7 linked regions of the Oryctolagus cuniculus genome follow. The protein of the gene in region 6 purifies or fractionates together with the protein of the main gene of each other region. This does not show direct contact. Links are inferred from orthologs where the notes say so. Each region holds a gene or a part of one and is shown on either strand. Other genes may lie near its edges.

Evidence for each region.
Region 1: the proteins of SIRT1 (region 6) and ZEB1 purify together in Homo sapiens (affinity purification with western blotting; 4 studies listed by BioGRID, with this or other methods). This does not show direct contact. The link is inferred for Oryctolagus cuniculus from reciprocal best matches to the Homo sapiens genes SIRT1 and ZEB1.
Region 2: the proteins of SIRT1 (region 6) and HIC1 purify together in Homo sapiens (affinity purification with western blotting; 4 studies listed by BioGRID and IntAct, with this or other methods). This does not show direct contact. The link is inferred for Oryctolagus cuniculus from reciprocal best matches to the Homo sapiens genes SIRT1 and HIC1.
Region 3: the proteins of SIRT1 (region 6) and FOXO3 purify together in Homo sapiens (affinity purification with western blotting; 4 studies listed by BioGRID and IntAct, with this or other methods). This does not show direct contact. The link is inferred for Oryctolagus cuniculus from reciprocal best matches to the Homo sapiens genes SIRT1 and FOXO3.
Region 4: the proteins of SIRT1 (region 6) and ECT2 purify together in Homo sapiens (affinity purification with mass spectrometry; 3 studies listed by BioGRID). This does not show direct contact. The link is inferred for Oryctolagus cuniculus from reciprocal best matches to the Homo sapiens genes SIRT1 and ECT2.
Region 5: the proteins of SIRT1 (region 6) and RECQL4 purify together in Homo sapiens (affinity purification with mass spectrometry; 3 studies listed by BioGRID). This does not show direct contact. The link is inferred for Oryctolagus cuniculus from reciprocal best matches to the Homo sapiens genes SIRT1 and RECQL4.
Region 7: the proteins of SIRT1 (region 6) and EZH2 purify together in Homo sapiens (affinity purification with western blotting; 3 studies listed by BioGRID and IntAct, with this or other methods). This does not show direct contact. The link is inferred for Oryctolagus cuniculus from reciprocal best matches to the Homo sapiens genes SIRT1 and EZH2.

The regions. Positions count from the first base shown.
Region 1 is NC_091444.1:102,062,863-102,066,313, reverse strand, and holds part of ZEB1 (zinc finger E-box-binding homeobox 1), read right to left. Parts: intron 2,372-3,451; coding exon 2,191-2,371; intron 1-2,190. UniProt on the Homo sapiens protein: Acts as a transcriptional repressor. Inhibits interleukin-2 (IL-2) gene expression. Enhances or represses the promoter activity of the ATP1A1 gene depending on the quantity of cDNA and on the cell type.
Region 2 is NC_091448.1:47,537,658-47,541,908, reverse strand, and holds the start of HIC1 (hypermethylated in cancer 1 protein), read right to left. Parts: upstream 2,801-4,251; 5' UTR 2,547-2,800; coding exon 2,510-2,546; intron 2,183-2,509; coding exon 3-2,182; 3' UTR 1-2. UniProt on the Homo sapiens protein: Transcriptional repressor. Recognizes and binds to the consensus sequence '5-[CG]NG[CG]GGGCA[CA]CC-3'. May act as a tumor suppressor. Involved in development of head, face, limbs and ventral body wall.
Region 3 is NC_091436.1:62,749,352-62,752,851, forward strand, and holds part of FOXO3 (forkhead box protein O3), read right to left. Parts: intron 2,100-3,500; coding exon 699-2,099; 3' UTR 664-698; intron 1-663. UniProt on the Homo sapiens protein: Transcriptional activator that recognizes and binds to the DNA sequence 5'-[AG]TAAA[TC]A-3' and regulates different processes, such as apoptosis and autophagy.
Region 4 is NC_091435.1:107,482,258-107,486,193, forward strand, and holds the start of ECT2 (protein ECT2), read right to left. Parts: upstream 2,801-3,936; 5' UTR 2,652-2,800; intron 790-2,651; 5' UTR 688-789; intron 1-687. UniProt on the Homo sapiens protein: Guanine nucleotide exchange factor (GEF) that catalyzes the exchange of GDP for GTP. Promotes guanine nucleotide exchange on the Rho family members of small GTPases, like RHOA, RHOC, RAC1 and CDC42.
Region 5 is NC_091437.1:168,206,635-168,210,276, forward strand, and holds the end of RECQL4 (ATP-dependent DNA helicase Q4), read right to left. Parts: coding exon 3,548-3,642; intron 3,474-3,547; coding exon 3,294-3,473; intron 3,226-3,293; coding exon 3,084-3,225; intron 2,998-3,083; coding exon 2,747-2,997; intron 2,680-2,746; coding exon 2,388-2,679; intron 2,312-2,387; coding exon 2,182-2,311; intron 2,094-2,181; coding exon 1,924-2,093; intron 1,849-1,923; coding exon 1,668-1,848; intron 1,597-1,667; coding exon 1,437-1,596; intron 1,322-1,436; coding exon 1,213-1,321; intron 1,131-1,212; coding exon 1,006-1,130; 3' UTR 863-1,005; coding exon of another isoform or gene 689-862; 3' UTR 613-688; coding exon of another isoform or gene 503-612; 3' UTR 501-502; downstream 1-500. Other genes in the region: MFSD3 (major facilitator superfamily domain-containing protein 3), read left to right, coding at 77-224, 311-435, 503-612, 689-862. UniProt on the Homo sapiens protein: An ATP-dependent DNA helicase which unwinds dsDNA with a 3'-overhang in a 3'-5' direction. Does not unwind more than 18 bp of dsDNA. May modulate chromosome segregation. The N-terminal domain (residues 1-54) binds DNA Y-shaped DNA better than ss- or dsDNA.
Region 6 is NC_091446.1:59,832,961-59,837,011, forward strand, and holds the start of SIRT1 (NAD-dependent protein deacetylase sirtuin-1), read left to right. Parts: upstream 1-1,251; 5' UTR 1,252-1,327; coding exon 1,328-1,760; intron 1,761-2,675; exon of another isoform or gene 2,676-2,743; intron 2,744-3,165; coding exon 3,166-3,282; intron 3,283-4,051. UniProt on the Homo sapiens protein: NAD-dependent protein deacetylase that links transcriptional regulation directly to intracellular energetics and participates in the coordination of several separated cellular functions such as cell cycle, response to DNA damage, metabolism, apoptosis and autophagy.
Region 7 is NC_091434.1:174,760,348-174,763,847, forward strand, and holds part of EZH2 (histone-lysine N-methyltransferase EZH2), read left to right. Parts: coding exon 1-65; intron 66-600; coding exon 601-695; intron 696-2,315; coding exon 2,316-2,356; intron 2,357-2,798; coding exon 2,799-2,924; intron 2,925-3,500. UniProt on the Homo sapiens protein: Polycomb group (PcG) protein. Catalytic subunit of the PRC2/EED-EZH2 complex, which methylates 'Lys-9' (H3K9me) and 'Lys-27' (H3K27me) of histone H3, leading to transcriptional repression of the affected target gene.

The sequences.
Region 1 (3,451 bases), on a different chromosome or scaffold from region 6:
GGGGTGGAGGCGTGGGGCAGGGGTGCGGCTCCCGTGGGACGGAGCCGGGGTGGAGGTGTGGGGCAGGGGTGCGGCTCCCGTGGGACGGAGCCGGGGGTGGAGGCGTGGGGCTGGGGTGCGGCTCCCGTGGGACGGCTCCCGGGGCAGGGGTGCCGCGAGGCGGGGTGGACACCGCGTCCCCGCTCCTGGAGAGGTGGCGGCCCCCCGGGGGCCAGCGGGGACCGGGCTGCCTCATCGCCTGGCTGAGGCCGGGATCCCCAGTCTCAAGGTGTTCTGAGAAGCGTGCCGGGGTGCTCCGGGAATCGCCCGGTGTCGCTGAGGGCTGAGGGAGGGAAGAGTTCCGTACCTGTTCTAAGAGGTGCATGAGCATAGTTGCTAAGGATGTGAAAGGTGAGTGTGGCCAGCAGGAGCGGGAGGCGGGAGGAGGGACCGCCATAGCCCTGTGCCTGGGACAGCGACCCCGTCTCTCAGAGGGAGGCGGGAATGGAGGGACTGGATCGCCCTGTGCCTGGGACAGCGACCCCGTCTCTCAGTCTCTCAGAGGGAGGCGGGAGTGGAGGGACTGGATCGCCCTGTGCCTGGGACAGCGACCCCGTCTCTCAGAGGGAGGCGGGAGTGGAGGGACTCAATCACCCTGTGCCTGGGACAGCGACCCCGTCTCTCAGAGGGAGGCGGGAATGGAGGGACTGGATCGCCCTGTGTCTGGGACAGCGACCGTGTCTCTCACAGAGGGAGGCGGGAATGGAGGGACTGGATCGCCCTGTGCCTGGGACAGCGACCCCGTCTCTCTCAGAGGGAGGCGGGAGTGGAGGGACTGGATCGCCCTGTGCCTGGGACAGCGACCCTGTCTCTCAGAGGGAGGCGGGAGTGGAGGGACCGCCATAGCCCTGTGCCTGGGACAGCGACCCCGTCTCTCAGAGGGAGGCGGGAGGAGGGACTGGATCGCCCTGTGCCTAGGACAGCGACCCCGTCTCTCAGAGGGAGACAGGAGTGGAGGGACTCGATCGCCCTGTGCCTGGGACAGCGACCCCGTCTCTCTCAGAGGGAGGCGGGAGTGGAGGGACTGGATCGCCCTGTGCCTGGGACAGCGACCCCGTCTCTCACAGAGGGAGGCGGGAGTGGAGGGACTGGATCGCCCTGTGCCTGGGACAGCGACCCTGTCTCTCAGAGGGAGGCGGGAGTGGAGGGACTCGATGGCCCTGTGCCTGGCTGGCGCGTCTGGGGCGCCTTCCTTTCTCAGATTCTGCACTGTCCGGAAGCCCGCGACTCCTGGAGCCTGGAGTCAGCCTGGCAGGCGTGTTCACGCCACAGCGAGTGTAAACACTTGTCGGGGCTCTCCTGCCCTCCCGGGGACCGCCGCCGAACTTCGCTAGCAGGCCGCAGGACGGAGGGAGTGGGGCCAGGAGTCGGCAAGTGTTTTCTGGAAGAGCCAGACGGTCAACACGTGCGGCTGTGCGTGCCAAGTGGGCTCCGTGACACACCGCGCTCTGCCCGTGAGGCCTGCGAGGGAAGCCGGCAGACACGGGGGACAGATGGGCGTGGCTCTGCGCCAACAGCGCCATTCACCGCATGCTGACACCCCGCCTTCCTGCGACTTCACGTCGTGAGTCTCCATCGCTTTCAGGGGCTATCAAACGCGAAGAAAACATTCTTAGCTCCTGTTGTCCATCTCTGAGTTATCCTAAAGAGTGTCTAGTCTGTGGAAGAATTGTGGAACCTCAGGGTTGGAAGGGGCCCTAGGATCTAGACAGAGGTTCTTCCTACACACAGTAGGCTTACCTGAACCCTTCTGATGCTGGGCACGCTGCACACTTAGGAAGCAGCGCTTTCTCTTATAGGGCCAGATCCTGTCTCACTGCGTTAGCCCGCTGATCTGTTTTCCACTAATGGGTACTGTATGCTTATTTATACAGCATGATCTTGCATGAAATCAGTGCGGACAGAATAAACACTGTGATGAGTTAAAGGGATACCAAGTCATTTAAAGACAGGAAAAAAAAAATAAAGGCACAGAACTTAAATACACCAGGTGGAAGCAGGTGGACAGCTAATGTGGCAAGATCAGAGAAGTGAAAAACAGAAAGACCATTAATTCAAAGAACATTAGCACTTTTTGACCTAGCACTTTTTCAGTACATCATAGCACAGGCACTTTTAGAAAGGCCAATATGTGTGTGTTCGCTGACATACCTGTGTGTTCATATTTGTGTCTCAATAATGAGCTACTCTTCTGGAATATCTTATCACACAGATCACAAGCATACATTCCATTTTCTGTCTTTCGCATTTTCTTTTTGGGTGGCGTAGAATCAGAGTCATTCTGATCCTCGACGTTTGACACCCCTTCTGAGCTAGTGTCTTGCCTTTCATCCTAAAGGAAGACGAGAATAAGAAAATACAGCTTAACATAGAAACAAGGGATGCAAATAAAAGCATAGATTAAAGATTAACTGATTTATAATTTCAACAACTTGACCAAAGCAAGCACAGTGCTTGTCACCGTGGCTCAGTTCCTACAGCAAGGGAAGACGACAAGAGGGGGTTGCTGTGGATAAAAATGAGGTGGGCCTGATACAGACAAAACTACAGCAAAAACATAATACCTGGCACCGGAAGGAAAGGGTATAAAAAGAATGTACAGTGTGTACTAACAAAATTTACTTGGTTCCACGTGAAGCTTTTTGTGTGAAAAATTTGCAGAAAGTTTGAAAAGTGTATGAATTAATCGGTAACATATGACTGCATTATTCGCCTTTGTTTTTCATTCTGGCTTTCACTAGGCAAGAATTTAGACTTTTAAAAAGTGGTCCTTAGATTCTTGGAGCTAACATTTGTCTCATCGGAAGGAAGGAGCTCTGCTCTACCACTGTTTTACGGGGCAGACTGGAAAAAAAAATGCAAGCAGGTCCACATTTTTAAGCAGGAATACTTGGTAGTCAAAATGAATCTTTAGAATTCTAGTAGAATGAAAACAAAATGCAGGCAATCTCAGGAAGGCAGTTCTGGCAGGAGGCTCTGCTGATGGAATCATCCTGCAGGGACATGAGGAATAGGTCCTCTAAGAGCTTGGGTCTTTTCTCTAGCCTCCCGTTTTACTGCCTCTAAACTGCTAACCTTTCTGCAAGTCCAATGCTTTCCACATTTCTGACAGCTTTGCTAAGGTAGGAGAGGCGCAGTCATTTGCTGGGGTCATTTCTGAGCTGCCAACGGGTGCTAAAAAAACCTGACTGCTTTCATTGCTATTTCATCTAGTCCTAAGACTGCACAAATGTTTTTGTACTCAAATGCCTAGAAAGTGCTCTATACACGAAAAATCTAGAGGAATTCATGGGTTGTACAAGAGTTATCACAATGACAGGAAACTAAGTCAGTAGCGATATTTAAGGGAGAACAAAAGCAGCAAACACACATCTGAACAGGATATTGAAATTGTTATAGCTGAACCTACTTA
Region 2 (4,251 bases), on a different chromosome or scaffold from region 6:
CTCTAGGTAGGAGAGAAACGGTCGATGGTCCGACCGTCGGGCCCGGCGGCCAGGTGAGCGCCCTGGCTCAGCACCTCCGCCGCCTTGTCCGGGCTGAGGCCCAGCTCCGCGGTGAACTTGGCCAGCGGGTAGAGGCTCTCGAGCGCCACCTTGGGGTCGTGCAGGAAGTGCGTGGTCTGCGCCAGCAGCTCGGCAGCGGCCGCCTTGTCCTGCTGCTTCAGGCTCAGCTGCTCGGCCGTGAGGCGGGCTACGGCGAAGACGCCCTCGGGGAAATCCAGCTTGCCCTTGCCGTCCGGGCCCGGGACACCAGGCAGCCCCCCTAGGCCCGCCAGCGCCCCGGCTGCGCCGGCCGCGCCACCCACGGCGTGCATCTTCATATGGCTGATGAGGTTGCGTTGCTGTGCGAACTTGCCGCCGCACACCTGGCACTCGTAGGGCTTCTCGCCCGAGTGGATGCGCATGTGCTCCGTGAGGCGGTACTGGCGCGTGAAGCGCATGCCGCATGCGTCGCACGCGAAAGGCTTGAGGCCCAGGTGGCTGCGCATGTGGCGCGTCATGGTCCCGCGCTGCGTGAACTTTTTCCCGCAGATGGTGCATGGATAGGGCCGTGTCAGCCAGTGTGTCTTCTCGTGCTGCCGCAGCGTGGCGGGGTCCTTGTAGCTCTTGTCGCAGGATGCGCAGCGGTATGGCCGCAGCAGCTCTCCCAGGCCGCCAGGAGCCCCGGCCACCTTGTCCCCGCCGCCGCCAAAAGGGGGCCCTAGGCCCGCCGCCCCGGCGGCCACGTCGGCTGCCTCGGCCCGGCCATACAGCGCCTCCTCCTCCTCCACGTGTGCCTCCACGTGCGCATTCAGCTGCTCAGAGCTGGGGAACCCCTTGCCGCAAGGGATGCAAACGTACAGGTTGTCCCCGAAGCTCTCCGGCTCGCCGTACGCCAGGTGCGGACACGGGTAGCCCTCCAGGTGGCCTCCGGGCGGGCTGGGGTCCTCGCTGCTGCCAGTCTCCTCACTGCTGCTCTTGTAGTCGTCGCCGTCGCCGCCGGGGCCTGGCCCGTCCAGGCTGCCCGGGTAGCGCGGTGGCGGCACCAGGCCGAGTGGGGGCCCCGCGGGCGAGGCAGCCCCATCCCCGCCGCGCTCCTCGCAGCGCTCGCCGGGGGAGCCGCGCTCGCGGACCAGCTCGTCACCGTAGCTACCCAGGCCTGGCTCGTGCTTCATCCAGCGGTAGAGAAGGCTGGACCCGTCGGGGCGGCCGGGGGGCTCGGGTCCCGGGCTGACGCCGCCGCGGAACGGGTCCGGAGGCGGCGCGGCCTCCTCCAGCTTCTGAAAGGCCAGCGGCGGCAGCGGCGGCAGGGCAAGCGGCGGCTCCTTATAGGCGGCAGGACCGGCACTGGGCGGGCTGTCTGGGCGCGGGGGCAGCTCGCGCTCACTCAGCGGCCTCTCGGGGGCCGCGGAGCCGGGCGGGCTTTTCTTGGACAGGTCCAGGCCGCAGAGCGGGGAGCAGCGACGCTCCGGGGCGCAGAGCGCAGCGGCGGGGCCGGGGCCCGAGGCGTACAGCTCGGCGCAGTGCGTGTTGACCCCGGCCTCTGGGCCCGACGACGGCTCGGCGGTGGGCGGCTGCGGCGGTGGCGGCGGCGGCGGCGGCCCGGCCGGGGAGGAGTAGCAGGCCTGGATGACGGGCGTGGCGGCCCTGAGGCCCCGGCCCGGCCGCCCGTAGGGCGCGTAGCCGCCGCCGCCGCTGCCGCCGCCCCGCAGGTGGCAGTACTTGCCGTGGCGCTTGAGGCGCTTCTTGCACAGCGCCACAAGATCGGGGATCTGCAGGTAGCTGGCGGCGGCCAGCACGGCGCCCAGGCTCGGCTCGGCCCCGGGGGCCACGGCCGCCGCCGCCGCCGCCTCCGCGCCGTCAGCCAGGCGGCCGGTGTAGATGAAGTCCAGCACCAGGCGGAACACGGCCGGGCTCACCATGTCATGGTCCAGGTTCAGCAGGTTGTCGTGCACCACCAGGGACTTGAGGTAGGCGCTGCTGGCCGCCAGCACGTTCTTGTGCGCGCGGAAGAGGGCGTTCTGCACCACGATGATCACGTCGCACAAGAAGCCCTTGGTGCGCTGGCTGTTGAGCTGCAGCAGCAGCTGCCTCGAGTGGCCGGGCGCCTCCATCGTGTCCAGCATCGTCTGCCCAGCACACTCTCCTGCGGGGACACACAGCAGCCGGGTAAGAGGCCCGCAGCGAGACCCGGCCGCCGGCACTTCCCCTTCCCCTTCCCCTCAGCTGAGCAGGGGCATGCAGCACCGCGGCCTGGGCACGGGCGGAGGACCAGCGGCCTCCGGGAGTGGGCGCCTAGGCCGCCTGGGCCGATGCAAGAGGAGGAGCGGAGCAGAGCGCCCAGCGGGTGGAGAGGCGGCCGGGCCGGGGCTGTGCGCGCCCCGGAGCCCCCGGCGCTGCTGGGCACACGGACTGGGTGCTTCCCAGGAGAAAAAAACTGTTCAGGCGAGGTGACCCTTTCGGAGACAGTTACCCGATTTGAGTAAAATGTCCGCTTCAGGAAAAGTCATTCAGGGCCCAGAAGTTTGCTCAAGTGGGGAGAAGGGGAGCCGAGCGAGAAGCGCCTCCCGCCTCGGGAGAAGTTGCCCCAGCTTGGGGAAGTGATACGGAGCACGGGAGCGCGGGGCCCCGCCGTGGCGCCGCCCCGGCCGGGGGCTGTCAGGCCCTCGCTCGGGGCCCGGGCAGCGGCCGCGGCGCGGGGAGAGGAGGCAGCGGCCGCCGTGGCGGGCAGAGCGCGAAGGCCGGGCCCCGGCGCGGGGAGGGCGTTATATCGGGGCAGGAGGCTGAGGCAGGAAGCAGGTGGGGGGGAGGGGGGAGCCACGCAGCTCCCAGGGGAGGGAGGGGGCAGCGCCCCGGGCGGGCACGGCGCGCAGCCGGCTGTGGCCCTGACCCTGGCCTGCGCCCCACCCGCGTTCCGGCCCCAGGCCCGGCCTCGGCCCGACGTTTGCGGACCCGGCGCCTCCCTCCGCAGCTCCCCGGTCCCCTGCTCCCCCGGAACTCTGCCGCCCCAAACTTGGGGGGAAACTTTCCCAACTTCAGACAGGGCGGGACGAGCGCGCCGGCCCCGGTCCCTCCGCTCCCAGGTTTTTTGCTCTCGGCCCCCAATTTCGGCGGCGGTCTGGCGGCCGTGGGGCCCGAGCCCTGAGCTTCCTCGCCCGCCCCACCCTGCTCCCTGCCTGGCCCGCAGGGCCTCGCAGCTGGTTACCTGCGGCCGGAGCCCGGCGAGCGGCCCTCCCCGCGGCGGTGGCAGCTCCTAGCCCGCGCCCCACCAGACCCCGCTGCCAGGCGCCGAGCTGTGCCAGGGCAGCGCCCCTGCAGCCCCGCCCGCCAGCTCCCCTTCCCTTCCCTTCCCCTCGCCTTTCCAGCCCATGTGCGGGCAGAGCCGGCCCCGGGCCGTTGACCCCAGCGTGAACCCGGCGCGCAGCAGCGGCCCGGCGGTCCCCAGTCCTCCAGGGGCGACAGCCAGACCCCCGAGCGCCAGCCGCTAGTCGCGTTGGGGCGCCCACGCCAGAGGATGCGCCCAAGGCGGCCAGCCGCGCGACGACCGGGCTGTCCCGGGTCCCCTGTCCTTCCCGGTCCCCAGCTCCAGGACCCACCTGGGGGGCATGTCGGAAGCCCCGGGCCCGGCTGTCGGCGGATCCAGGGGGGGACGTGGCTGCGCTGCGCTGCCCTCCGCCCGCCGGGCCCCCGGTCGGTCTGTCCTGCTGCTCCGTCCTCCCCGCGTCCTGGTCGCGTCTCAGCCCCGCCGCGCTTTCCGCACACTCTTATCTGGAGCGGCCCGGGCCGGCGGGCGGTGCTGCGGCTGCGGCGCCACCTCGCGGCTGCGCAGGGCTCTACAGGCAGGCTCGCGGCTACCCTTCTGCACACCTGGGCGGGCGCCTCTCCCGATGCCCAGCTGGGCGGGGGATCCAGCCGCAGGTTCGCGCTCCCAGATGTGCCCACCTGGGGCCCTGGACCCCAGACCTGCGAGCCCCTCCCAACCATGGCGCCTTGAACTGAGCCCCGATCCAGAAAATTCCTGCCTGCGGAAGAGGGGACTCTTGGCGGCAGTAGGTGGTGGGAGGGAGGTTGTGGAAATCCTAAACCAGACGAAGATAGACAGGTTCTGGGTGCCTCTCCTTAGACATCTCTGTAAGGGACTGTCCACTCGGGCCTACCCAACATACGCAGCATACCAACCCTCACTCAGGTCCTTAGATCAGGTTTGCACATCAG
Region 3 (3,500 bases), on a different chromosome or scaffold from region 6:
AGCCCGTGAGTAAATGTCCCTCACAGAAACTTGTGATTTCAGCTTAATTCTTCTGTTTTCATAAATGCTTAGAGCCTGAGCACTAAGGATTCTGAGCACTATGATGAGAATGATCCGACATCTCTTTCTTCTGATTGAAACCTTTGTATATGAAAGAATCCAGAAATCCACATCCTACAGAAAGAAGCACCCGGACATCATGACTGTACCAGAAAAAAGAGAGGAAGAATCCATAACAGCAAAGACTGAGAACAGCAGTGCTACACCTGAGCATCTTTCTGAGAAGATCCTTTGGCTGCATGTCTTTAACCCTAAAGGATGGCCTAAGCCTCCCACCAGCTTCCTCTCCCTTGTCTTCTGTTTTCATGCATCCACCCATCAAGTAGAGGGACTGTGTCCTAGGCCAGCGGGACGGACGGATACAAGGAGTGAGGTGTCTCCATGGTATGCGCTTTCACTAGCAGGCAAGTTTCTGAGCTCCGCAAACCATGGGGAGGGGTCCCTATGAGTTGCTGTGGGGACCGCCCTGTGTGGTTTAACAGATGACTCTTTGAGAGGGCCTCCAGATGGAGTAAAGTTCAAGGCAAACAGAAGACAGGCTTCCCCCCAGGCACCCCCACCCCCACCCCGCCCATCACCTCCACCAAAGCACTGGGCACTGACCTGCTTTGCCCACTTCCCCTTGCCTCAGCGGTCCTTCAGCCCGGCACCCAGCTCTGAGATGAGGCCTGCTTAGCACCAGTGAAGCTCCCCACGTTCAAACCAACAACGTTCTGTGTGGAGATGAGGGAGTCAAAGTTAAAATCCAACCCGTCCGCGTCCATGAGTTCACTACGGATAATGGACTCCATGTCACATTCCAAGCTCCCATTGAACATGTCCAGGTCCAAGTCGCTGGGGAACTTCTCGTGGCCCATGACGGGAAGGTTTGCACTAGCTGAGTACAAGGAGGAGCCTGAGAGCGAGTCCGAGAGGGTTTGCATAGACTGGCTGACGGGAGACGGCTGCTGGTGTTTGGCTGACCCGAGGCTGCTGGAGTCACTCAAGCCCATGCTGCTGACGGAATTCGACAAGGCACGGCTGCCACCGAGAGCGCCCTGGGTCTGGTGCTGGTGGTGGAGCAAGTTCTGATTGACCAAACTCCCCTGGTTAGGCTGGGCAGCAAAGGACATCATCGGGTCATTGCGCAGCATCACGTGCCGGCGGGAGTTCTGGGCAGACACAGCGGTGCTGGCCTGAGACATCAAGGGGTCCGACTGGGTCATCATGACGTCGCTGTGGCTGAGCGAGTCTGAAGTGAGCAGGTCTTGGAGTGTCTGGCTGCCGTAGTGCGACATGGAAGAGAAAGTGGCTGGCTTGTTCTCCTGGATGGTCTGCATGGGGGACTGGCGCAGGGAGTTCAGAGACGACGGCCCGAACACCGTGCTGTTAAAGGAGCCGGTCGGAGAGCCCAGGCCGGAGCCCTTGGCGGCGTAGGGGAAGCTGGAGCTCCGCTGCATGAGCGTCCCGGGGGGTGACGGCTGGGAGGACGGCAGGGGGATGTTGTCCAGCAGGTCGTCCATGAGGTTGTCAGCCAGCCCGTCGTTCAGGTTCATGGTGCCCGCCATGTCGGTGAGCCGCGGCAGCTCCACGGCGCACGGCTTGCTCGCAGAAGGCGACAGGCTGGCGGAGCTGCTGTACAGCATCGGGGAGAGCGGAGCATCGTCGTCCTGGACCTCATTAAGCTCTGTGCTCGCCAGGATGGGCGACAGGCGGCCGCTAACCGTGCTGGCGTTGGAGTTGGTGCGCGAGCGGAAGTCCGTCCAGGCGTCCAGCTCGTCGCTGCTGCGCGACGTGGGGCTGCCGGGCCACTTGGCCAGTTGGGAGGGGCTGTCGTCGGCCGCCTCGGGTGCCGTCTGCAGGGCCGCCTTCTTCTTGGCGGCGCGGCCACGGCTCTTGGTGTACTTGTTGCTGTTGTCCATGGAAACGGCCCGCCGCCGGGGCGCCTTCCCGCTCTTGCCCCCATCGGGGTTGATGATCCACCATGAGCTCTTGCCCGTCCCCTCGTTCTGCACCCGCATGAACCGACTGTGCAGCGACAGGTTGTGTCGGATGGAGTTCTGCAGAGGAGAAGGAAAACGCAGAATGTGAGCCAGGTCGGTCCAGAACTGAGGGCTCAGAACCCCCAGCCCAGCAGACTCCTTATTTGCAAAAGCCGCTTCTCACACCAGGGGCTTAAAAAGCTTAACTGAGAAGACCAACAGCCGCACCACTCTCCAAAACAACATCAAACGGAAGGCTTCCCATCCTGGAGAAGGACAGACGGTTGCGGAGCAAAGCTGCTGCTCCCCCCAGTTCCTAGCTTTCACTCTATTTCCTATTCTGGGGTTCCCACTTGTAATTTATGAGCACACCACTTCCTCCCTGCACTTTGCAACCACCCTCTGGCTCCTTAAGGTAACCCATCCCCTGGGTGGCTCTTAGCTTCTCTTCTGCTCCCCTCCTCCAGGCACCCAGGGGCAGCAGCCACCTCTTCCTAACCACTTCCATGAGTTGAGAACTGGTGCGAAATTTTTACCCACCCTCTCTACCACTCCATCTCAGCATGCCACAACTTCACGCCTTGTTACGTGACACCCAGCAGAACTTGTTGGGCCAACAAAAGGTAGGCAAGTCTCCCGCTGCACTCCCGCTGCAAAGCACCATGGGCTGAGCTCAGCAGCTCCTCCCAGAGTACCATATGAACGGGGGTGGGGGAAGGGGACTGACAGCGGAGAGGCCTGCGCACACAGCCTCAGCACCCTGTTGACAGCACACGTGCGCCTTTGATGGGACGTGGTGAAAATGGTATTGACCTCTGTGGTCTTGCTTCCAAAACCCACAGGCCCCGTCTACTCATGAGCAAGACCTCAACTGAGGAGCATTCACAAAATGTATGTTCAGTGCTCCTCAAAACGGTCACGGCCAAGAGCTGCCTGAGGAGACAGGAGGGGCGGCTCCAGATGCAGTGGTGTGGACTGTGGGACACTTGAGGCTCTGGGACAGGAAAGGGACCTGTAGTAACAGTTGAGACAAGTGTGCCATCCTGTAAGAGGTTAACAACAGGGGACCGTGCGATGTTGGGTATGTGGGAACTCCACAGCAGCTTGGCCACTCTACTTTTGCAGACGTAAAACTATTCTAAAATGAAAGGTTTATGATTTTAAAAACACAGGAGGGTAAAACACCCTCACAACTCTAATGGCTGCACCCATCTTGCAAGCATCCTCCTCCCGACATGGTGGACTCACCCAGTGGAGACGGATGACCCAGATTCAGTCCCGTCTCTGCCGCTGACCAACCATGTGACCCTGAACAAATCGCTTATCTGTCTGCCGCAGCTGCGGTGCCCGTCTTCATTATGGTCACAATCATCTCCCAACCACCCCTCCCTGACAGGGATGACGTAAGGGCGATGGATGATAATACACTTCTGAAGCCAGTCACGCTAGGAAGCCACAATGTTCCTACCGCCCTTATAA
Region 4 (3,936 bases), on a different chromosome or scaffold from region 6:
CAACAGCCCCAACTTTATCATCAGCTTCTTCAGAAATCACTCTTCAGAGAGTTTTCATAGGTATGGGTCACAAAAAAAACATGATCATATCACTTTGCCTAACAACTTCCATGGGTACCCCTCCCTATATAAATTCACCATCAAACTGACAATAAAGTCCCAGCCTACCTACTCAGGTTCATCACCTGTAACTCCCCCAATGTACACGCAATCTACATTGCTGCCAACAATGAATTTCTCAGCATTTGTCAAACTTAAATCCCAGCTACTTTGCAAATACTTGCATTTAATAGTGCTCAGCTCTCCACCAAGCATGTCTTCCAACCCCTAATCTACCACTCTTAATTCGTCTTCTGTGGATCTCTGAACCTCTCAGGTATAATCGAACTGCTCCCTTATTTGTGCTTCCTTACCCATACTTTATATGGTTTTAGAAACATCTCTGCTGTAAAAATTTGTTAAGACAATTATGCATGGGCTTTTGCCAATATAACTCTGGACTGTGAAAAACAAATCCTTTTTTTCAAGATTTCTAGGACTTAAGAGGTTGAAAAGTTGGGCAAGTAGGGCATAAAGAAAAAGGTTGATAGGATTTCACCAGTTCAAACTTGCATTTTTATGTGAGTCGATTATCTTGAAGTAGATTTCTAATATCAGACAAATAGAGAGAGGAAGCCCTACCCTTACCTGAAAGTACATATGCGATCTACTTTACCCTTTCTTCCTTCTTCAGAATAATAAATACAAATATCTTCCTCCAGATTCTTAGCAACTAGTGTAAACTGTAACCTGTGGAAAAATGGTAAGACATCAGCATCATTTCTGGATGATGATACCAGGCAGTAGACCTCAAAGTCAGGTAATTCTGCTCCTGTCTCAGCTCTACACTTGGTGAGTTAAGCCTCAGTTTCTACATGGGTAATGCAGATATGGAAGCACAACTCAAGTTCACTTGTGGTAAACACTGAAGAGACAATATCTTAAAATGAGTGGCAAATAGTTATTCATTTTTATTTAATATTCACAACATAGATTTTTCTTATTGTCTTAACATCCATGTCATCAATCATTAATCCAAGGCTATCCCAAAGAACTGTTCCAAAAGTTGTCATTTACAGTACTTACAATCAATGACAATTTACAACTAAATCCTCAGCTCTCATTATTCTTTTAAGTCTCCTATACTTAATCATCTCCAATAAAACAGAAGAGGCTCTAAGTACGTTTTCATTCAATGTATGCGTAACAATTTATTTTTAAAAAGTCAAGAGAAAAACTAAGCTGCTTTAAGGATAGAAGGAGGGAAATTTTAATAAATAAAAAATGTGATTTATTGCAGTTGCATAGCAGGAATAACTTTTAATTCTCTATAGCATTAACACAGGGTAACTATGGTTGACAACAATTAATTGTATAGTTCAACATAGTAGAGAGGATTTTGACCATTCCCAGTACAAGGAGATGATAAATGTTTGAGGTGATAAGTATACCAATGGCCCTGATGTGACCATTACATATTGTATACTTGTAATGAAATAGTACTCTGTACCCCATAAATATGTGTCAATCACGTGCTAATTAGAGATTTAAAAAATATTTTAAAATACCACTTTAAAAACCATCAAAATAAGTAATAATTAAAATTGTTTCTTACTATATATGATCAATTTATTACTAAAACGGTTTCAACTTACAGAGAAAAAAGAGCTACATGGTAAGATGATACATATAGTCCAATTACAAATACATTAATCACTTTTTCTCATATTCATGTATTGCAGAGCTTTTAAAATAAACACAATGGGATCCGCACTTATAAACCCATACAGCTTACTTCTCATCCAAGAACAGATAAAGAGCCTCTGACTAAATAAGCTATAACATATGCACCCTTTTCCTCTCAAGTTTAAACTAATGACCAGTTTAGTTTTCCTTTTACTTAATTTTTTTTTTTTTTTAGAAAATCATCTTCCAAGGTGAAAGACCAAAATCCGATACTCGATATGTCAGCTGGTGTTAAACACTGCCCTAAACCTTCTACTTGCACTTATTTAATCTTGGCAGCGATCCTGAGAGGTAGGCACTACTATTTTCTAGGTAGAGAAACCTAGAAACAGAGAGGGGAAGTGACGCCCCCTAAGTCACAGTAAATGCTAAGGCCAGGACTAGAGCCCGGCTGCTTCCAGAGGCTGCGCTTTTAACCCCTATGCCACACAGACATCTGGGGCTAGGAAGGGAAGGAGAGGGCTTGCCCGGCTTGCCCTTGCAAAAATCTCAATTTCCTGCACAGAGGAAGCCAAGGAAGAATCCTAGCGTGAAATCACTAAATTCTGGCGATAAGGCGCCCGCGGCTGCAGCTGCCAGGCCCCAGCCGCAGAGGTCTGCCTGGCTCACCAAAATCCCTTCCAGCTCCCCGCCTTCGCCCACAAACGCTCTTCCGGAAAGGAGATCCGACCGCGAGAGCCGGGAAGATGCCCAGCAATCTCGGGACTCCAGGCTCTCCCACCCGCCACAGCCCCGCTGAACCAGAGCCAGGAAGCCAGGGCTGGGCGCTCCGGAATCCGCGGTCACCGGGGAGGGGATGGAGCCCGCTGGCAAAGGAGGCCACAGCTCCGGAGATACCCGCCCGCTTCCCCCTCCCCAGACCTCACCTCAGGTCCTCTCCACGCTCCGAAAACGCCCTGGCAATTCCACCTCTTCACACGCAGACCCCTCACACCGATACCGCCATTCCTCGCCGCCGGCCGCCACAGCCAATTCAAAAAGCGAGCCGCTCTCTCTAAGAGCCATGCCGATTGGCGCGTGATGTCAACCTCCTTCCCATAGGCCGGAGCCTGCAGGGGGACGGCGATTGGTCGCTGCTCTCCGCCCACCTCCCTGCGAGCGCCGATTGATTGGTTGTACGTATGTTTCAAATAAACCCAACGGCTCTGACGCCCAGACGTCAGGAGTTTGTAGAGAAATGCCCGGATGTCGCCAGGAGGTGGCGGTGGTGGCGTCCGAAGGCTCTCCGGGAGTAGCAGGTGTTTCTGTGGCTACTGCTTGTTTACTCGGTAAACATCCGATTTCCTGAGGAAAGTTTGAGTAGGTTCTCCGTACCCCAGTCCCCAACTTGGTTTTGAAAAAACTCCATCAGATCCTTTAAATCAGTGCCGCCCAGATGAACTTTTCCTTCTGGTCCCTAGGAGCTGCCGGTATGCTTTCTGCTTGAGGAATGGATTAAGCGATTTTGACTTGGCAGTTGTGTTGGCGTGTGGCAAGGCCCAGGACAGAACCTGGCAAACTTAAATCAGCAAGCAGCCTCCTACTTAAACCTTGCTGTATGCGAAACTGAACTCTGGTCTAGGCAAGATTGGGGGGAATTTAAAAAAAAAAAAAAAAAAACTTCTTACTGTTCCTGGAGCTTTTAAGAAAAGCAAGCTTGCATTTGAGAAGATTTAAAATGTGCAACGAGATTCTAGAAGCTCCTGAAACCATCGTGCCTTGCTTCCTCGCTGCACCCCACCCCCGCTGTGGGAACGTTTGTACTGTATAAAGTCTAGCCAAAATTCAGGTTTCTCCAGTGATTAGTATTGCTAAGATGAAAGCAGTTTATTTTGTTCATTTTCTGAGTATGATGCCATATCACACAATCTAGAGAAAAACAGGCCTCCTCCGAGAGATTCTCATCTGATTGCTGATTTAAGTGAAAGAAGAAAGGGGAATTCGTTGCCAGAATCCGAAATCCAATCAGAGGAGAAAAACTTGTACTTTGGAATGGAACACTTAAGAATAGCTCAGACAGGTTGTGAAAATCTACCGGGTTTTCCTCCCTCTGATTTTCTCAGGCAACATTAGAATGCCTTAGTTTGCAGCGCAACCCATAAAATGAATGAGGCAATGTGATTATTGCTGGTTTTCTTGCTTATTAATATTTAATCTGCCCTACCTTATAAT
Region 5 (3,642 bases), on a different chromosome or scaffold from region 6:
TGAGTGAAGCCTCAAGTCAGGCGGCAGCACGGCTCCCTGTGGGGTGTGGGCTGCTGCAGCTCAGGGTCTCCCGCAGGCGAGCAGGGCGCCGGCAGCCTGCTGCCCCTCCTCCTGCTGGACCGCGGCGCCTCCGCCCCCGAGCTGGGGCTCTGGAACGGCGTGGGCGCCGTGGCCTGCTCCATCGCTGGCTCTGCCCTGGCCGGGGCCCTGCTAGCCAGACACTGGTGAGCGCCCTGGACAGCCCCCCCACCCCCGCCACCTGCTCCCCACCCCCCAGTGGCTCCATGTCCCCACCCCCGCCCCGTCCCAGGCGGCCGCTGCCCCTGCTGAGGTCACTGCTGCGGCTCCGCCTCGGGGGCCTGGCCTGCCAGACCGTCCTGCTCTTCCACTTGGACTCCCCAGATGCCAGCGTGGGCCCTGCCTCCGTCCTGAGAGGTAAGGGGCTGGCCTCGGGGAGGGAGGGCTGGGAGCCTGGGCCCTGTGACCAGTCCCCCCCCCCCAGGTGCAGCCTTGCTGAGTCTGTGCCTGCAGCACTTCCTGGGGGGCCTGGTCACCACCGTCACCTTCACCGTGATGATGCGCTGCAGTCAGCGGGCGCCCAGGGCCCTGCAGGTGAGGGCGTGAGGTGGGGGCGCCCGGGGCCGCTGGCTGGGCAGCTGTGCAGGCTCTGACCCCGCCCCCACCACAGGCCACGCACTACAGCCTCCTGGCCACGCTGGAGCTGCTCGGGAAGCTGCTGCTGGGGGCCCTGTCTGGAGCCCTGGCCGACGGCCTGGGCCTGCGGCTCTGCTTCTCTCTGCTGCTCGCACTGTCGGCCCTGCCCCTGCTGGACCTTGGCCTGGCCCCCAGCACGCTGGCCTGAGCCAATAAAGCAGGGCGTGCCGTGGCCCGAGTGCTGTGTCTGGACGTGTTGGGTGCCTTTTATTCTGCACTTTGCAGCCTGCCTGTCCACCCGCCCCCGTGCTTGTCCATGCTGTGTGCTGTGCCCCCCCCCCCCCCCGGCAGTCAGCGGCACGGCGGCAGGAGCTCCTCTGTGGCCAGGCGCACCAGCCCGTGGAAGTCCAGGTGCAGATACTTCCTCCAGAAGCGCTGGTCCTGCCCGTACACCTGGGCGGGGTAGCAGGGGCTTCCTGCAAGGGAGGAGCGTGCGGAGCTGAGCTGGGGGCCGCCTCCGCCCCAGCCCCCGGCCCTAGGCTGGCCCTGCGCCCTCACCGATGCCGTGGAAGATGCGGGCCAGGGTCCTGCCCGAGAACCTCTCCTCGGGCCGCAGGGACAGGAGCAGGCGGATGTCGCGGCGGATCTGCTCCTCCCAGTCCTGCAGCTGCGGGCGGGCGGGCACGTCAGTCTCCCCAGGCCCCCTGGCACCGTGGCTCACACAGCCAAGGCCCTGGGTGGCCTGGGGAACCTGGAGCCAGGCTCACCCAATCTGGACTCACTCTGGCCTGCCCCAGCTCCGGTGCCTGCTGGTCCTCAAGTCCCAGCTCCTCGGCCTCTCCCCCTTCTTCCTCAAAGTAGCGGCCGAGCAGGGCCTTGAGCCGGGCGCTGCGCTCCTCGTCCACCTGCTCCAGGCAGGGCCCGCAGCTGGGGAAGGCCACGCTGCAGAGACAAGCCTGTCAGAACCGGGCTGCACAGCTGGCCCGTCCCCAGCTCTGGCCACTCTCTCCCACCTGCGAAAGGCCTGGAAGGTCTGGCACAGGCGAGCCAGGGCCTTGCGCTCACGGGCCTGCACACAGCCATACAGGAAGTCGCAGATCTGGTCCAAGTCCTCCGCCCTCAGGTCGCCGGGGCTCCGCAGGTGGAAGGCCGGCTCCTTGAACTCCACCAGCACACCTGTGCCCCTGGGTGCACCTGCCAAAAGCGCAGCGTCCCAAGCTGGCAGGCAGCAGGGCCTGGGCTGGGCTGGGCTGGGGGGGCTGGGCTCACCTCTCCTGGACTCTGGGTCCCACTGCAGCTGGCGGAGAGCCCGCTGCACAGAGGCCAGCTCCCAGCCGCTCGCGTCCACCAGCTCCAGCATGTCCAACTCCACAGAACTGCGGCTGTGCCTGGGGTCCTCAGGTGACCACTGGGCGAAGTGTGCAGCCAGAGGGGGACACCTGTGCCCGGGGTGGGGGGTGGGAGCACACATCAGACCAGCAGCCCCTTCCTCTGTCCCCGTCCCCAGCCTGGGGGGGGGGTGCTCACCTATGGGCAAGGGCCTGGAGCTGAGCGGGGCCCCCAGGGCAGCGCAGATGGCAGCGGGTGTGGGCGGCGGGCAGCAGCTCCAGCCAGTGCCGAGGGTGCAGCTCCAGGTAACACAGCAGAGTCTCTATGGCTAGGGCCAGAGCAGGGCTCAGGGCACACAGGATGGGGCCCTCCTCACACCCCAGGCCCTCCTCCGGGTCCCTCACCCTCCTCCGGCATGTCCAGTGCCTGCACTGTCTGCTGTGCTGGGAGCAGCCGCTCGTGACCAGAGCAGGCTCTCCTGCCGGACGCGGGGGCTGCCTGCTGGCCGTGGTGCCGCTGGGCCTCCTGGGAGGGGGGGCCTGCCGCGGGCCTCTCGCCGCCCACACCTCCCTCCTGGGCTGGGAGCAGCTGGGAGCAGGTGCAGGGCGCAAACGCCCACTGCACCAGCTTCTTCACGGCCAGGAAGTCCGTGCCGTCAGCGTGCACGTGTCTGCGCAGCTCCCGGAGGTCTTCACCCTGCAGGGGACAGTCGTGAGGAGCGGCCAGGGTGGCGGACACCCCCGCGGCCAGGAGGGGGACCAACCTGGGGCTGCAGGAAGAGGTGGCAGTGGGCAGGCTGCCCGTCACGCCCAGCCCGGCCCACGGCCTGCACGTAGCTCTCGACGCTCGGGGGCAGCCCCAGGTGCAGCACGGCCCGCACATCCGGCCGGTCCAGCCCCATCCCGAAGGCCACCGTGGCCACCACCACGCGCAGCTGGCCCTGCATGAACGCCCGCTGCACGCGCCGCCGCTCCTGGCTCAGCATGCCGGCGTGGTAGGCTTGGGCCACGGCCTCTGGAGAAGGCAGACAGGCAGCCGCTGGCACGAAGGCATGGGTGCCCAGGCGGAGTCCTCAGGGGCCCCAGCCCTGCCTGCCTCACCTGCGGGCCCCAGGCCCGGAGCCCCACGCAGGCAGGTTCGCAGGAGCGCGGCGATCCGCTCCGTGTCCTCGCGCCGGATGCAGTACACGATGATGGAATCCAGCGCCCGGAAGCGCTCGCCCTGCAGTAGCGTCACCACAGCCTGCCGAGGGGCAGTGTCAGAGCGGCCGCCTGCAGGGGCCCCGGGGCCCCTGGGCTGTGCACACCCACCTGCTCGGGGTCCCTGTCCATGGACACGGAGAGATGCAGATTCGGGGGGATGGCAACCGGCCCGCCGAGGCCCAGCTCCTCAGCCACGCCCAGGTGCTGGGCCACGTCACGGGCAGTGCTCCGTGTGGCGGTGGCTGTGAGGCCCAGGAAACAGCGCACGCCCATGCGTTCCCGAAGCACCTGTGCCAGAGGTGGGTCACTGAGCCCAGGTGGGCCCTGGTCCGCTCACCCACCCAGACCCGTCCGCGGCTCACCTTGCAGACGCGCAGGTAGCAGGGCCGGAAGTTGTGGGACCACTGGGACAGGCAGTGAGCCTCGTCGATGCACGCGAAGGCCACAGGAGGCAGCT
Region 6 (4,051 bases):
ATTCTGTTTAATTTGAAGTGCAAACATTTTTGAAACTAGTAAATGATATCTCAAAAATGAGTTTCCAGCCTTCTTGGTTCTTTTTGAAGCTAAAGCAACAGAGCTTGAGTTGCTTGCCTAAGGTCATGCAGGTATCGGTGCAATATATCCAGGACCCATAGTCAGTTTAAGGAATGGTGTGCTATGAACGCTGAGAAGTTCTTTAAGTGACTAGAAATGCTGCAGGCAGATGCCACGCAAAGCATAGGTCCTTAGTTATGGCTGTAAAGTAACAATTTTCCAGGGCAAGTGGAAAGTGGTGGAGTTTCCAGTGGGGAAGCAACTCTGGTTTTTGAACTACTATGTACCTTTTAAATATAGCTAGCTTATTTAATTTTCATAACCCTGCAAAATAGGTATTATGAGAAAAAATTGGATTTAGAAAAGGCTAACTTGCTCGGTATACAAGAATCCCAAATTTAAAGCAAACCCAGAGATGGGGAGTGGCCGAGCCTTGTTCTCGACTGCCCGACTTGACCCAATGCAATCACTACACCTGAGAACACCGGGGCCCACAGGTAGGAACGCACACACATTTGAGTACAAGTTACGGACCGAAAGCTGATAGGCTGACTCCCAAGTTCCCAGGTCAAAGGACCTAGGACGGGGACACACGCCTGTGAGGATCTGACAATCTCGCCCCACAAGTGAGGGCGACAGGGCACAAGAGCCAATCACTGAAGGGGAGGGCCAAGCAAAGGAGCTGAAGAAGGGCTGTCAGAATGGCGCGGGGGCGGCAGAGCGCCTTGTTCTTTCCTCCCCACTGACAAAAGCCCAACGGCTACCCAGCGTTATTTCAAGGAGCGAAGCTTCAGTCCTCATCGCCTCTCAGGAGCCCAACTTTAACCCTTAGCTAAAAATGCAGACAGGGCTAGGCAGGGAAGGTGTGCGCTGGAGGCAGAAGTGGAAACTCCGTGAACCAAAACGTGTGCCTTCCGGACGGTCCTGAGTTCAGGACGCTTCCAAACAGAAGTTCAAAAGCGGCCGCCGAGCGAGCGTGCAAGACACGCCCGCCACTGAGGGGAGGGGCCTCAGGCCGCCCGAGCCGCGTTTCCTCCCCGCCCGAGCAGAGAGGGAGACGCCCGGGCCTCCGCCCGCCACGTGACCGGCCGTGTTGTGGTTCGGCCCGCGTGGGTGGCGGGAGCGGCGGGAGGGCGGGGGCGGGGGCGGAGGCAGGTCACGTGACGGGGTTTAAATCTCCCGCAGCCGGAGCCGCGGGGGCGCCAGTGCCGCGCGTCGAGCGGGAGCAGAGGAGGCGAGGAAGGAGGGCCAGAGAGGCAGTTGGAAGATGGCGGACGAGGCGGCGCTCGCCCTTCAGCCTGGCGGCTCCCCGTCGGCTGCGGCGGCCGAGAGGGAGGCCGCTTCGCCGCCTGCTGGAGAGCCGCTCCGCAAGAGGCCGCGGAGAGACGGCCCTGGCCTCGGGTGGAGCCCGGGCGAGTCCGGCGGGCCGGCCCCCGAGCGTGAGGTGCCGGCGGCGGCGGCGGCGGCGGCCGGGAGCTGCCCGGCTGTGGCGGCGGCGCTGTGGCGGGAGGCGGAGGCGGCGACGGCGACGGGCGGGGAGCGAGAGGCCCAGGCTATGGTAGCGGCCGGAGGAGACAATGGGCCTGGCCTGCAGGGCCTACCCCGGGAGCCGCCGCCGGCCGACGATTTCTGCGAAGACGAAGACGACGACGACGAGGGCGAAGAGGAGGAAGAGGCGGCGGCGGGGATTGGGTACAGAGGTGCGCAGGGCGCGGGCGGCCGGGACTGCGCATCCCCCTCCTCCTCCTCTCGGGGCCCCTCCTAGTGTCCGGTTGGGGGGGGGGTCTCTAGGGCGGGCCGGGGGTTCCGGGCTGGCTCGCGGGATCCTCTCCCCATGGCGGCCCTCCGTTCAGCCGCGCTGCTCCCGGGCTGCCGGCCGTGCGGTGGGGAGCTGCGCGCGGACTTGCTCCTTGTCTTCCCTCGGTCCGCGGCCCCTCTCGGCGGCCTTGCGGCGTTCGACGCAGCCGCCGGGTGTGGACGCTGTCTCCCTTGGCTTTACAAATAAGTTTTCTCTCTTCTAGTATTGCTTTCGTTGAACTTACTTTGCTCTCCTCCTCCTTCACCAGCACACTTAAAGTCTGCAACTTTCGGCCGTCCCGTTGGTCGACCTTTCGCAGTTGCCCGTGCAAACTGACACCTGTGCCATTTATTTATTTATTTGACGATCTGTACTTTTAAACTTGTAGTTATAAATTTGGAAAGAGCAAAGCGGCTTTCTGAGGTCTTAACCTGAAAACTTTAAAAGCATAGTTTCTAAAGCAGTCTTTTGTGATGCGTTTAGTGGGGATCGCATAATGAAGTACTTTCAGAGTGCTTTATATTAATATTGTGGTTGAGTCGTGTTCTGAAGTGGTTTTAAGCTAAATGGGATTCTTCTGTATATATGTGATCCTGAAGCAGGTTGACATGTTTTTGACATACTGAAGTACATGTCTTGTCCTTGAGGGTTTCATAGTTTGACTTGAGAAGTTTCTGTGTCTGTCAGTACTGTGTCGGAACTAGCCAGTGGAGCATTTAGTAGCCACATGGAAAAAAAAAAATGTGTAGTGTATACATCAGGGACTGCACAGGTGAAGCAGCTCCTGATTTCAAGAAACAAAATTCCTTCCTCCTTCAGGTAAATTTGGCAAATATTAAATTTCTTTGTGATTCAGTCTGCTGAACTAAGGAACCATCATAGTATTTAGAAGCACAATAAATGGGAGAAACAGATAATGCAGAAATAGCTAAGTATGTTTAGTAGTATATAAAAGCCCAGAGTGCAGGCAGCCTTGGTTTTCACAACGTTGGTGGGTAAATTTTGACAACTTGCATGTACTCCTTTGCTTGTATGATTGCTAAGCTCAGTCTATAGAGACTACCTCTTATTCTGTTTTGACTTTTTAAAAAGTAGACTCAGATTTTTGATAGACTGAAGCTTTGAATTCTGCAAAGGATCTCTTGAGGATCAGAGAACTGCTCTTGTGAATGTTGACCACCTTTACACATGCGGGATGTATGTTAAATGCTTTAGTCATTAAAAATGGTTGCTTTGTGACCACTGATGAGTCTTCTTGCATTTCAGATGCAGGCTGTCAGCAGCCTTAATGTTGATTTCTTTTGCAGATAATCTCTTGTTCGGTGATGAAATTATCACTAATGGCTTTCACTCATGTGAAAGCGATGACGACGACAGAGCCTCACATGCAAGCTCTAGTGACTGGACTCCAAGGCCACGGATAGGTATGGTTCAGAGCTGTGCCCCTCCCCCCATTTTCCCTCTGTCCCTTTAATAGATTGAAGTTTTTAGGTACATGGAGAGATTTAATAACAACTTATATTTCTAAGAAAAATCTAGTGCTCTTAAGTACAAAAATTGTACGTATTTATGGGGTACCATTTGATGTTTTGACACATTATAGATTGTGTAACATCTAAATTAGAGTAAACATCCCTGTCTCATACATCATCTTGTTATTGTGAAATCATTCAAAATCTTTTTTGCTATTTTTTTTAAAGAAAAATAAAGGGGTAAGCATAGAGGTTAATATGCTAGTTGGGTCTCCTGGATCCTATATCTGAGTGCCTACTTTGAAGTCCTGCTTTGCTACTGATTCCAGCTTCTTGGTAATGGACAGTGTTGGAGTTGGTGGATAGTGGTTCCAGTGGCTGGGTTCCTACTACCCCTGTAAAAGACTTGGATTGAGTTCTTGACTCCTGGCTTCTGCGTGGCCCAGCCCAGCTATTGTGGCTGTTTGGGGACTGAAACGGCAGAGGGGAGCTGTCACTCACATCCGCTTTCTTGCTCTCTTGTGCTCTCACTCCACCTTTTTAAATAAAGAACATAATTTTTTAAAAATTAAATAAAACACACAATGCATTTTCTTTTTTTTTTTTTTTTTAAGACTTATTTACTTACTTGAAAGTCGGAGTTACACAGAGACGGAGAGAGGTCTTCCATCCGCTGGTTTACTCCCCAGATAGCTGCAACAACTGGAGCTGTGCCGATCCG
Region 7 (3,500 bases), on a different chromosome or scaffold from region 6:
TTGGCACTTACTATGATAATTTCTGTGCCATTGCTAGGTTAATTGGGACCAAAACATGTAGACAGGTAAGCATAACTGTTCAATATTATTACAAGAGCTCCAAATATAGATATAAGTATGTACTGATCCAAAAGGCATAGTGACAGAGAGGGAGAAACAGAGAGCTCTTCAGTCCACAGGTTCACTCCCCAAATGCCGACAACACTGGGGTTGATCCAGGCTGAACGCAGGAGTTGGAACTCCATGTGGGTGACAAGGACCCAAGTTCTTGGGCTGTTATCCCATGCCTTCCCAGGCATATTAGCAGAAGCTGGATTGGAAGTGGAACAGCCGGGTCTCAAACCAGGCACTCTGATAGGGGATGTGGACATCCCAAGTGGTGGCTTAATTTGCTACGCCACAGTGTTCACCCCAGCATCACTACACTTGACCAGAAAATAATTGCAGCTACTCTCTACTTCCTGAAGGTAGGGACAATTATTTCTCCTGTATCCCTAGCATTTAGCAGTGTCAAGAAGAGAGAAGTCTTTTTGGTATGAATGAGTATAAAAATGATTTGCTTCAAAAACTATTCTCATGACTGTGACTGCCTCTTGTCAGGTGTATGAGTTTAGAGTCAAAGAATCTAGTATCATAGCTCCAGCTCCCGCTGAGGATGTCGATACCCCTCCAAGAAAGAAGAAAAGGAAACACCGGTAAGTCTGCTGTGAGGCTGTTTAGAGAAGTCAAAATAGGTGTTGCAGGCAAGGCACTTTATAAAGGCAGTGATCAGTTTCTACTTGGGCTGTTATACAACAACTTCAGACTGTCTTCAAAAACATATTTGTGAAATCGTGTTTCCACTCGCAATTGCTGTTTTTCTGTAAGAATACAACAGCCATCAGTACATGTGGAATGATCATAAAAGTTCTGGTTACCATGTGTATTGGTTATCAAAAACATAAATGATTTAGTAGTTGTTTTTTTTTTTCCAGTAAAGGCTACATAAATAGTCCCGTTTTAGCATTTTTTTTGACAGGCAGAGTGGACAGTGAGAGAGAGAGAGACAGAGAGAAAGGTCTTCCTTTTCCGTTGGTTCACCCCCCAATGGCCGCTGCGGCTGGCACACTGTGGCTAGCGCACTGTGCTGATCCAAAGCCAGGAGCCAGGTGCTTCTCCTGGTCTCCCATGGGGTGCAGGGCCAAGCACTTGGGCCATCCTCTACTGCACTCCCGGGCCACAGCAGAGAGCTGGACTGGAAGATGAGCAGCCGGGACAGAATCCGGTGCCCTGACTGGGACTAGAACCCGGGGTGCCGTTGCCGCAGGCGTAGGATTACCCTATTGAGCCGCGGCGCCGGCCCCTTTTTAGCATTTTTTTAGGAAATGTTTTGATAGGTGTTTCTACTGTGAGCTCCAGGTTAGTTTTAGGGAGTGTATCTTTTTTTTTTTTAATTAATTTTATTTGAGAGGCAGAGAAAGAGACAGATGGCTCCCATCTTGTGGTTCATTCCCCAAATGACCTACAACAGCAGGGAATTTGCCAGGCCAAAGCAAGAAGCTGGGAACTCAATCCTGGTCTCCCACATGACTGGCAGAAACCCAACTACTTGAGCCATCACTGCTGCTCTGTTGGCAGGAAACTAGAATCAGGCGCACAGATATGGTACAAAAGCATCTTAACCACTAGGCCAAATGCTTGCCTCCTTTAAAAGAGAAGCATAGTTGAGTGGCTAAGGAAACACATACATATGCCTAAAAACTACAGATAGGCTCTTTGTGTATTTCTTTAATAAAGGTCAAGTCATCCTAATTGAGAACTTAAATTGTAAGATTTTCTCACAGGAATTTAGGTTTTAGTAGATTTTTCTGAAGTTTTGGTTGAATTTCTGACCGTGTAGCTCAGCTAGATTATTAATGATGCTTGAAATAAGAGATAGTATCAGCATAATTCACATCAGAATAAATCTGTAGATACAGACACTTGCTGCTACACAAAGTATATCTGCTTATAAGTCCTGAGCAGGTGATGTGGATGAGCATAGAAAGGGATGCCACCAGCCTGGCTTCTCCGCACACCTTAGGCAGCCTGAGTGATGAGGCTGTTTCGGAGTTGCTCTGAACTGATGGCAAATAGTAGCTGGATAGTGTGTGCCTTTTCGGTTGTAACCTGGCTTTAAAGCACTGCTGTGTTAATGGCACAGATTGAGCCATCGAAGCAGCTGTCTGTTGGATTTGTAGCTGTGACCCTGTGCCCTAGCTTTATGTGAAGTTTGTATTTTTTTTCTTTGTGTGTGTGTGTGTTGTTTTTGTTTTTGTTTTTGTTTTTTTTTGCAGGTTGTGGGCAGCACACTGCAGAAAGATACAACTGAAAAAGGGTTAGCATCTTTCCTTCACCTTCATTATTAGCTTTAAATGTCTGTTCTCATTTGACTTAGAATAGTGACTGCATTAGAGTTGGGGTTGCTGTGATAGAATTCATTTTTGTACATCAAACCTGTATAAATGGAGGGTGTCTCTTGATGAATGGCCAAGCAGTGCTCTTTGTAAAGAGACAGCTGATTGGATGGAGTGAGTCACTTAATTGGTTAAAGGAGAAGCAGTTTGGAAAAGATGCACTTTGAGACTTAGTGGCAAAGCTCCTGAGCACTTTGGGGTGGGAGGTTGCTTTTGCCATCATTTTTAAACAGGACTGTGTGTAACATTGTAAATACAGTACAGCTCCAAAGGTGGTAGGGAAGAGTGTACTCTTGTTCATTGTGTGTGATCCTTTCCCCTCTTCCTGGATTAATGGGCCTGCCTGCTGTTATCTTTATTCAGATGGCTCCTCTAACCATGTTTACAACTATCAACCATGTGATCATCCACGGCAGCCTTGTGACAGTTCGTGCCCTTGTGTGATAGCACAAAATTTTTGTGAAAAGTTTTGTCAGTGTAGTTCAGAGTGTAAGTATTTGTTGCTTTGATGCAATTGCATGAGAACTAAGGAGACCTTTGGCCAGCAATTAAAAATAGTGATTTAAATCAGAACCAAAGGACACGGGAGTGGCTCCCTTGTTGTTTACTTAGGAAATCTTATCTTACAGTCATTTATTGAGTGTCATACCTGGCACTGTGCTGGTGTCCATTCATTCTCCTGGGTAACGTGTATGTGTGTGTGCAGGACAGACCAAATTGCATTAAAGGAACTTAATCTTTCTTTTGTCTCTGATCATTTATATTAAATCATAATAAAGTTGGCACAGAATGAAAGGGGAATCTAGTAGTTACCAAATAATTTTGAGGCACCAGAGATTGTTAGGAGGATTTCAGTTTTCAGTAAAGAAATACAGCATAAGGCTAATACCTTTTTATAATTGTTTAATGAAGCTGCACACAAAGCTGGGATGTTAAGGAAGTGATTAGAACTGTGAGCTTTTAGAATGGTCGTGGACCATGGATATTTTGTAGTCTCAACCCTTCTTTCATACCTATTTTATAATCATAGAACCTTATATACCATTTACCAATACAAACTGGAGA